Linked DNA regions of Saccharomyces cerevisiae S288C. The protein of the gene in region 1 binds, or shares a complex with, the protein of each later gene. Each region holds a gene or a part of one and is shown on either strand. Other genes may lie near its edges. A codon is read from its position in the direction of its gene.

Evidence for each region.
Region 2: the proteins of YCS4 (region 1) and BRN1 are in contact, whole or in part, in a cryo-EM structure (PDB 6YVU), measured with the Saccharomyces cerevisiae proteins. Residues at the interface, in NP_013374.1 of Saccharomyces cerevisiae: Glu365 (codon at 2,587), Gln368 (codon at 2,578), Asp369 (codon at 2,575), Ser370 (codon at 2,572), Arg375 (codon at 2,557), Arg405 (codon at 2,467), Ser406 (codon at 2,464), Gln408 (codon at 2,458), Asp409 (codon at 2,455), Arg410 (codon at 2,452), Trp589 (codon at 1,915), Ile641, Ser646, Arg742, Asn786, Tyr789, Pro790, Glu793, Lys805, Asp807, Arg815, Val840, Val841, Lys856, Tyr860, Lys863, Cys864, Ile917, Arg957, Thr958; in NP_009455.3 of Saccharomyces cerevisiae: Thr166 (codon at 1,105), Leu167 (codon at 1,102), Phe170 (codon at 1,093), Thr172 (codon at 1,087), Ile173 (codon at 1,084), Lys174 (codon at 1,081), Ile184 (codon at 1,051), Asp185 (codon at 1,048), Pro186 (codon at 1,045), Phe188 (codon at 1,039), Ala191 (codon at 1,030), Leu192 (codon at 1,027), Phe195 (codon at 1,018), Lys201 (codon at 1,000), Leu203 (codon at 994), Leu204 (codon at 991), Leu205 (codon at 988), Asn206 (codon at 985), Asn209 (codon at 976), Ile210 (codon at 973), Asp211 (codon at 970), Asn212 (codon at 967), Thr213 (codon at 964), Ala214 (codon at 961), Arg215 (codon at 958), Val216 (codon at 955), Ile217 (codon at 952), Phe218 (codon at 949), Asp219 (codon at 946).

Annotation. Positions count from the first base shown.
Region 1 is NC_001144.5:683,524-689,253, forward strand, and holds YCS4 (condensin subunit YCS4), read right to left. Parts: upstream 3,680-5,730; coding exon 149-3,679; downstream 1-148. Other genes in the region: CMG1 (Cmg1p), read left to right, coding at 1-38; protein phosphatase regulator PIG1, read right to left, coding at 5,560-5,730. UniProt on the Saccharomyces cerevisiae protein: Regulatory subunit of the condensin complex, a complex required for conversion of interphase chromatin into mitotic-like condense chromosomes.
Region 2 is NC_001134.8:38,759-42,430, reverse strand, and holds the start of BRN1 (condensin subunit BRN1), read right to left. Parts: upstream 1,601-3,672; coding exon 1-1,600. Other genes in the region: BNA4 (kynurenine 3-monooxygenase), read right to left, coding at 1,904-3,286. UniProt on the Saccharomyces cerevisiae protein: Regulatory subunit of the condensin complex, a complex required for conversion of interphase chromatin into mitotic-like condense chromosomes.

The DNA of each region.
Region 1 (5,730 bases):
AGCATTGCCCAGGAGTGAATGAAGACGACCACAAATGAATTTTATCGAGATAGGTAAAGTCATATTTCAAGAAGAAAGAAATGAACAGCTTTTATTTATATAATAACATATAATATAAAACGGAAGAAACGGGTAAACGTCAGTTCGATTATTCTTTTGCGGATACAACCTTGAAACCTTGCTCCAATAATGCAGTGACGTCTTCATTTTTGTATGGTAGATTGTTTAGTACGAATGCAATATCATCCCATTGCTTTTGGGTCTCGCACTTTCTCAGTCTTCCAACTAATTTCTCGTTTAATTGCTTTTGGTGCCGTTCCTTATCGATAAAAGTTAACAGAAATTTGATGATTTTCTTGAAACTCTCCTTACCCAATAAATCATCTGACGATAAATTACTAAAGATATCGATGAATCCATTATAAATGGCGTTGTCCTTGGATGCTAACTCGGTGAAAAATAATCTGCACATATCACTTATTCCCTGGTCTGGATTGTCTAGGCATTTGGCCATTTCTCCTAATTGTCCTTTAACCTTAACCTGTCCAGCTAAAATCAAGAAGGTAACTGTCATTAAACATGTTCTTTGTACCATTAAGTTTTCATCATGCAAACGGCGATACAAATAATCTGTGTTTTCGTCTACTAAGTTGTTGAAGCATACTGCCATGTCACCTAGTCCTAAGACAGCATTTGAGCGAATAGTAGGATCAGGAGATTTTTCCATTACTGTGATTAATAGCGGCAGGCTCTTTTCACAATATTTTGATGATAAACACATTAGTTTTTCTAGACATAAGGTTGCCGTTCTTTGAAGCATTGGATCGCTAAACCTGCTTGAATTAGAAACAATCTCTTCTACAATTGGGCAAAACTTCCCTAATATAGATTTTTCTCCAAATAGTAATTCATTCTCTTTTACAAATTGAATAGCATCCGTGAAATCGTCCTCATTAGTACCTCCTATCATTTCTAGCTCTTTATCACCACCGTTATCTTGTGTGGTGTTAGTTACATCTGCACCTTGGTTTTTTACTTTACCGTTCCGAGTTTCTGCCTCGATCTTTCTTTTCTTGAATTCTGCCTCACATTTCTCTAGATAGACAAGTGTTTTAATTGCCACTTGTCCTACAATGAATAATAATTGACTGAGAGAAACAACTCTAGATGATTGTTCTAACGACAAAATAGAGTCTTCCTCTTCAGGTTTACCAAATGTCATCATTGTCTTTTCTCTAATCAGATCTGTAGCTAGTATATCGGGCTTAGAAGAGATTGTAAACAGTGCACTAAGCGCTTGTTCGCACATAGGATAATATTCATTATCCTTGGTATAGTTGATAATTATGGCATACAACTTTTTCACTGCAACATCTTCAAGCTCTTGATTTATTGCCTTGGTAATAATAGTGCTTCTCTTGGGAACCATTCTCTCTAACGCTAAACAAGAATACCGACAAAGGGTCAGATCTTTTAAACCAACGGCACCAAGTCCAATGTTTAAAAGTGACTCCAGTCCTTTTAATGCTATTTCGTTATCGGCTAACGATAACATTCCTAAAATAATAATAGAACCATGAATTTGTTCCTTAGAAAACCCTTTTTCGGAGTCACGGTTGTTCACATTTTGTTCTTTCTGCATACTGGCCTTCGATGCAGAATTGTAAATAGCCCAAAGGATATTAATGACATGTTGATCAATCAATTTTTGTTCATACATCATTCCTAATAGCTGTTCCAAAGAGGCCAAGTCTGCAATAGATGCGCCGATGCTTAGATTAATTAAATTTTTGGCAATATGTGCCGCCTTCTCCTGCATATTGCAACTATCTGGCGCGGTTAAAAATAGCTGCTTATAACATTCTATCAAATGTACTGATATACTCGTTCCTTCATCGTTTGTGCCCTTCATCCAAACCAAATGCAGCATTTTTTTTATACCAAATTCGCTTAACTCAATGTCAAAAGCGTCTGCTAAAACTAGGAAGTCCATTGATTCTAAAACTTCGTTTCTGTTCTTAGAAAACAGCAAATTAGATATCAATTCAATACTCTTGTGTATCTCTTTAATGAAACTAATGGCATCTTTATAGTAAACAATCATTAACTTTAGCTTCATGAGAACACTGGTATTTGTTGCATTTATATTCTCTACCTCATTTTCTATTCTAGAAAGTTCTGCGCTCTTATTGAAAGAACCTTCTAACTCGGTCCTACATTGACCTTCATCTTGTTCTACCTCTTCTTCAATCAAAGACCTTTCAATCGTGTCATTCAGAGTTTCTTGTGACTCTACTTTCTTTAAAGTGGAATTTAGCTGTGATTCAGATCCTTTGAGATATTCTTCCCATTCACTCAGCCTCAATTGGCTACCATGTATGGCCTTAAAAGGATGTTTTAGCAATAATTTTGAAAGTAACTTTACTGAGTTCCTACGAACTAAAGAGGAGCGGTCCTGCAATGATCGTACTGCCAACGAAGTAAATTTAGCTTTGCTTTTGTTAAATTTCGAACTCAAATCGCAGATCTTTGAACACCCTTGTATCGCCTTCGTTCTAACGTAGGGATTTGAATCCTGGAATCTTTCTTCTAGTAACTCAATAAGTACGGCTATTTGTTGTTTATAATGTTCCATAGTTTGTGGGTCTTGAGCCAATTCAGCCACAATATTTCCACATGCTTCTACAACGGAACATCTCAATGTTATAGAACTATTGTTGAGTAAGGTGATGACAAGATTCATCTGTCGAAGCATTATTCCTGGTGATAGCTCTGATAATTTAATCAAAAAATTTGATATTGCCTTTGGGCCTGTGGTATCCTTTGCGTTAAATACCCTGGTGCTGATTTCTTTCAAGATATCTTCTGTTAGTTGTGGATAGTTATATTCATCATTCAATAGTTTTAGTAATTCTGCATTAAAAACCGACAAATGAAGAAAATAAGTTAAATTTGTCATCAATGAACTTTGTATACTTGAACTTTGACCGTGATTTTTAACACACATAGCCAAAATCCTTTGAATAAACATCTTTAGTGATGATACCTTCGTCACAGGTTCAATCTCTAATAACACAAATAATGGTCTTGTGAACAAACCAATAAACAAATCCTTTTCAGGAGTTGTCTGAAATATCTTAGATAAGTTAATCTCCAGTAGCTTTGTTATAGATTCAAGCAAGTTTTCCATTTGATTACAGTCTCTTTTAAACAGCTCGACGTTTGCACTATCATTCTTACTGTTTTTGGCAGAACGGTTTAGATTGGTAGACTGCGAGGAGACCTTATGTAACTCATCTTGTAAAAACGTCAAAAGTACCTGAATAAGGTAGCCATACTCTTCTAAATGCCTTTTCCACTGCGGTATCAGGCCACCAATTTCAGTAAAGTTAACATTTGATGAGAGATTAGCCTTAATATCTTTTGACAGATTCGACAGAGATGAACTTATCAAATAGCTTAGTTGAGTTTGTAATTTCGGTGTTAAGTGCGGGAAGTCATGGCAAAGATCTATTAATGCTTCTAGTGAATCTGGACTAGCATCTATTTGTTCGGGTGAAACGGCCAATTGGTCTATGATAACATTCAGTTCTCTGGATGGGTCCTGCAAGCGAGGATATGATTCTCGATCTGTTGTTTGGAACTTGGTCAGATACTCGGAAAGGCTAAAGCCGGACATCTCATAAAGTAACGAAGTCAGTTACCACCTATCAAAGGATAAAGATATTGTTACTGCTGCTTCCTTTACCTTTCTTTTTTTTGGTCAGTGACAGGTTATTTTCTTTGTTTACTAAATGGTCGCAAGATTTTCGCGATGCGTTTAATTTTCATATTATTGCTTTCCAATTTACCCAAAGTGCAATTGACAAAGGCCATTAGTCTTTCTTTTTACAACAGTAAGAATATAAATATACAAGTGCAGTATTTAAGATACTTAATTCGAAAAGTGAAAAAAAAAAAAAAGAATCTGGAATTGGTTATTTTAATTTCTCATATGAATTGCTTTCCAAATTCTTGCAATCAATAACATTTTTTATTTATTTTTTTTTCAAGATCAGAACATGTATATATATATATATATATACTGTTCATACCAACAATTATCATTTAGTAGTAAAGTTTGTGATAACGATCAAGCTAGAAACTCCATAGATATCCTGACCCTTACTCGTTGTAAATAAAAGGCTCGCGACAAGAAAACAACGCGTTACTTGATAATAATTTTAAAATCAAACAAAAGAGGTGGGGGAAAGAAGCCCTTACTATTGAATAGCAGACATTTTATTCATCTCGCAATACTACTACATTTCTATGAAATATAACAGGTATAAAAAATGATTTCGCCCAGGATCGAACTGGGGACGTTCTGCGTGTTAAGCAGATGCCATAACCGACTAGACCACGAAACCTATTATTTATGTTTAATCCACGTTACACCACCAATTATACAAAAATAAAAAAGAATGACGGCAAAAAAGCAAAAAGTGACATTAATCATATTTGTTTATGTCTTATTCTACTGGTAGTATTCATCCATTAGTATATTACTCTCTGTATAAGGTTATAATGTTGAAATGATAATCAACTATTGTGTATGATCAATTGGTGAATAATTTGATAATTGTTGGGATTCCATTTTGCTTAAGGCAATATAATATTATGTATACACAATATACTAGAAGTTTCTCCTCAAGGATATAAGACTCAATAACATGGAAACAACATTTCTCCACAAAATTTTGTAATTATCTTTCTTCCATTTTATATGTTTCACATCCTATTAATCCTCAATTCTCGCATGTTCGGTTTCATATTAAATTTGACTACTGTTTCACATAGTATATTTGTTGAAATGAAACTCTAAAATATCATTTATTAGTAGTATTCATGTTACTAGAATCTATTATCATATGCGGTGTAACAAGATGGCATAAAGATTGGGAAACAGTCATCAAATATAATGGAAGCTGAAATGCAAGGACTGATAATGTAATAGGACAATGAAACATATAAAACGAAAGGTGTAATAATTATAAGATTTTGTGGAGAAATATTGTTTCTCTTTTATTGATTCGTATATTCTCGAGGAGAACTTCTAGTATATTTCACATACTCAATAATATAACGTTTACTAAAGATGGTGTTAACATGTTAAAAAAACTTCGATTGTTAAGAGTCCTTTTGTTATACAACTCTTTAAACGACTGTTTAAACCTATCATTTCATCACAAACTGTAAAGGTAAGAGTTAAAGCAGATATATCACCTATCAACTGCAGCTAAATATCGTGAAATGAAAAACTAATCGTTATTTGCACCAATAAAGAACGAAAATCCCCCACTGAATTTAAAATATTTCTAAAGAACTAAAGTCATTTCGACTAATGAGAAACTAAAGTCAGAAACAAAAATGCAAAAGCAATATTAACTTATGTGAGCAAAATATTTCATATCTAATCTATGAAGGCAAAAGAATATGATTAACTATTTTATTAATTTTAATTAAAATTTTATTCTCTTCATTCCAAGGATTTTGTTATTATTGTAATATGGGCGATGGTTAGGGTGACGGCGACTTATAAAAATAATCACGAAAAATGTGAATTTTATTAGGGCTAAGAGAGGTTCTCTCCTCATATTCTCCTGAGCTGTCACTCATATTATCACCTGGAAAAAATGGTAATGAGGTTGTGGTATTCAAGGGAGAAATTTCCGGAGATGAGCTTTCCCT
Region 2 (3,672 bases), on another chromosome or scaffold:
TAACGTCGCCTCTGGTATGCTTCCTATGACTGAACAGACTCATTTTCTGCCCCGGTTTAATGAACAATCTTGTTATTCTATCAGTGGAAAAATGGAAGTCATCCGGCAGTAAATAATGTGTGTCGTTCTTTCTGTTCTTAATCGGCATGTCAATCTTTGTCCTTCCTTTTGAGGCAAAGACTTTGTCTTCAAAACTATCATCCGTTTTGAAGAAATCAATTTCCAGAACCTTTTTTTGTTTATGCTTCTTCTTCGTATCCATCGATTTGTCGTCCGTTGTGTTTTTGTCAGTAGTATCTCCTATAGTAGTTCGCGTTTCTTCCAACAGGTCGGATTCTTTATTCACTAAGTTTGCTTTCTTAAAATTTCGTACTTTCCAATGTTCTCTCCCTCTCCAGTTTCTATTTAGATTTTCGTCAAAGTATGCCATCAAATCTTTTTCGAATATACTTCCTGTGGTACTGTTGACATTATCATCATCTTGTTCATCATGTGATGTATTGTCATGATTTTCATCTGGATAGCACAGCTCCTGTTGCATGCCCATATCAAAGCCATCGCTATCATCTTCTGCATTATCTGGGACAGCTGCTTGCAATTCTTCTTCAGTTAAGAAGTTATCAAATCTGTTGTTAACATTTTCGATAAAGTCTTTCGCTTGATTAATATCTTCGACAACGTTCCTTAGTTGCTCAATCGATCCTGAAATTTCACACACCGCAATTTGATCAAATTTTATAAAATCCATACCAAGAGATAAAATCTCATCTTCCATGGAAGGTGCACTAATAACGGAATCATTTACGGTTGAGTCATTACGAGTACTTATCAATGACTGGCTAGGTTCATTTTCGTCATCTACTAAACTATCTCTTTCAATTAATTCTTCTTCTTTCCTTTGAAGTTTACCTTGCCCTACGTTTTGTGTATCCTTAATTGATGCATCGAAAATGACTCTTGCAGTGTTGTCTATGTTTAATGTGTTCAACAATAAACTCTTGGCGCCACCTTCATCGAAATCAACCAAGGCCTTTTTGAATAATGGATCAATTATTAATTCCTGGTCTAGCTCTTTCATCTTGATCGTTTCGAACTCCACCAATGTTGTTTCTAAAACTCTGTTGTACACTCTCCGCCTAGTGTTATTCACATCAGGATCATTAGATATAGGCATACCAGTTAAGGGATCAATCTCTATATTTGCTTCGTCACTGTCACCTCCAAGCCCTTCACCATTTCCCCCGTTACTGTCATCTCCGTTAGATGCCCCATTCGTCTTTCTTTGTGCCAACCCGCTCAATAACTTACCTGTTTCCGTTGTCACTGAATCAACTCTCGAAGAGTAAATCTTAATACACCCATCCAAGGTTGCAGATGCTTTCTGAAAATTGATGTTATTCTCGCCATCTTTCAAAACGTCCAAGTCATAAAAATAGTCGATCAATGCGAAATTCCAACTATTTCGGGAATTGATTTTATTATCTGTAGCCATTTTGATCCATTCTTCAAAATTTGCCATCATGGTGGATCTATTGGTAAAGAGATTATATTCTACTCTTTCATCGTCATCGTTATTTTCATACCTTAGTTGTGTAGTCATCTTATATAACTACCTGCTGGTTTTTTTTGCTCCAAAAAGTCCACTAAGATGATTTTTTGGTGCAATAAATAGAGTATTTAACTAGCCAATATAAAAAGTTCAACCATATGGATATTATCTTGACAATACTTCACTAAAATGTAAACAAAGAAAGCGCGAACAGAGCCGTTTACCGTTTCGCGTGATCAACATCACATAAAATAATTAGTGTATTATATATATATATATATATATATATATGTATATATCACTTATTTTAATAATCCTCTCCTAGCGTACACGGATGGCAAGAATAAACTGGCTTCAGGAACGTTCTCTTGTCAAAAATTTGAAAAGCTTGTAACCGCCAATAGATAACATACCGAGTGTCAGAGATTCTAAGAATTTCAAGATACGTGTTTGCTTTCCAGCCCTTTCTAAAGCTCTAGAATACGAGATATCGGATCTGAAAGATATCATTGTATACAAAGGTATCCACTTATCCTTCATTATAATACTAAAGAGAGCATCTAGCTTTTTCCTTAATAAAAACCGCTTGGATGTAACGTCATGTGACATTTCTTTATAGTTCCTTTTTGCCAGCTCAGTAATAGAAACTAGGTCCTTATGTCTTGTTTGAGTGTACTCAGTAAAGGCTCTTGAACGATCTCCTGAATGCTTTTTCAATAGCGCCATAAGAATTCTCACATCTTCAAATCCGCAATTCATACCTTGGCCGTAAAATGGAACCATTGCATGGGCAGCGTCGCCGAGTAGGATGGCCTTTCCGCCTGGTACATCGTATGGCTTACAGTTTACACAGACAAGACTTTCCTTTGGATAAGTGATAAACCTTTTGACAGCATCGTCCAAATCCATAATATTAATAATATCGGGAAAGTTCTCGATTAAGAATTCCCTCACACGTGACTTGGAAGTTATCAGATCTGATATTTGATCTTTAGAACCGAAAAAGGTTGAAGTGAACGAGCCGTCACTGTTGGCGAGCGCAATTAACATGAATTTATGACGAGGCCAAATGTGCAAATGGTCAGGAGCTATTGCAAAATTTCCGCCATAGTTTGGCTTGAATTCCTCAGTAGGCGGGATGTAAAGTTCAATGTAACGTAAATTCATATATTCTTGTGAAAAATCCATCTCAACTTTACGTTGCATTTGCGATCTCGTCGCAGAGTATGCTCCGTCACAACCTATGACAAAATCATACTTTTCAGTATGTGGGGTTTTCAAATCTTCCCCAATGGCAAAATGACAGATTTGTTTATCATCTGTCCATTCGATTTTGACTAATTTGTGACCGAACTTCAGTTCTGTTGTAGATTTTTCTAATTCGTCCAAAAGGCTATTATTTAATACAGATCTATTGATAGAATTAATAGCTTCTCCATGCAAGCCATACAATTGTGATTCCTGTCTGCCTTTCAAGTCATGAATCATCCTGCCTTTCATGGGAATCATATCTTGCAGAATATGTTCACAAGCATCCGGATCTATTGATTTCAGAGCATCAATGCCACGAGCAGAAATAGCCAAATTAATGGATTTCAAATTTTTATTTTTGGTGGTGTCCAATCGAGGATCTTGTCTAAAATCATATAGTGTGACATTGTAGCCTTCTTTGGAGAATGCCAAAGCTGCAAGGCAGCCTACTAATCCTGCACCTATAATGGCCACTGATTCAGACATATTTTCAAGTTAAACAGATTAACTGACTACGTGATTTTTTAACTGTCATTCAATATTTTATTATTAAAAACAACGTCCGTGCCAGAAATTCGGGCCTTTTATAAGAAATAGTGGCGGAAAAAAGAGTCAGTGCTAAGAATGGAATAAACTAGAGGCTATTGTGGGAAAAAAAAAAACAACTCCAAAATAAAAACCGCTTGCAGGCGATATTTCCTTATTTTTGTAGTAACTCATTTCCTTAGAAGAAAAGTAGGGGCATTATTTACCATAAGAATAATAATAATATATAATAATCAAAATAAAAAAATTCTAAGATATTTAGATTTTTCAGGGTTATTGTTTGGCTGCACTTTAAATTTAGTTATGTTTTTTTTCGTTTTTTTTTT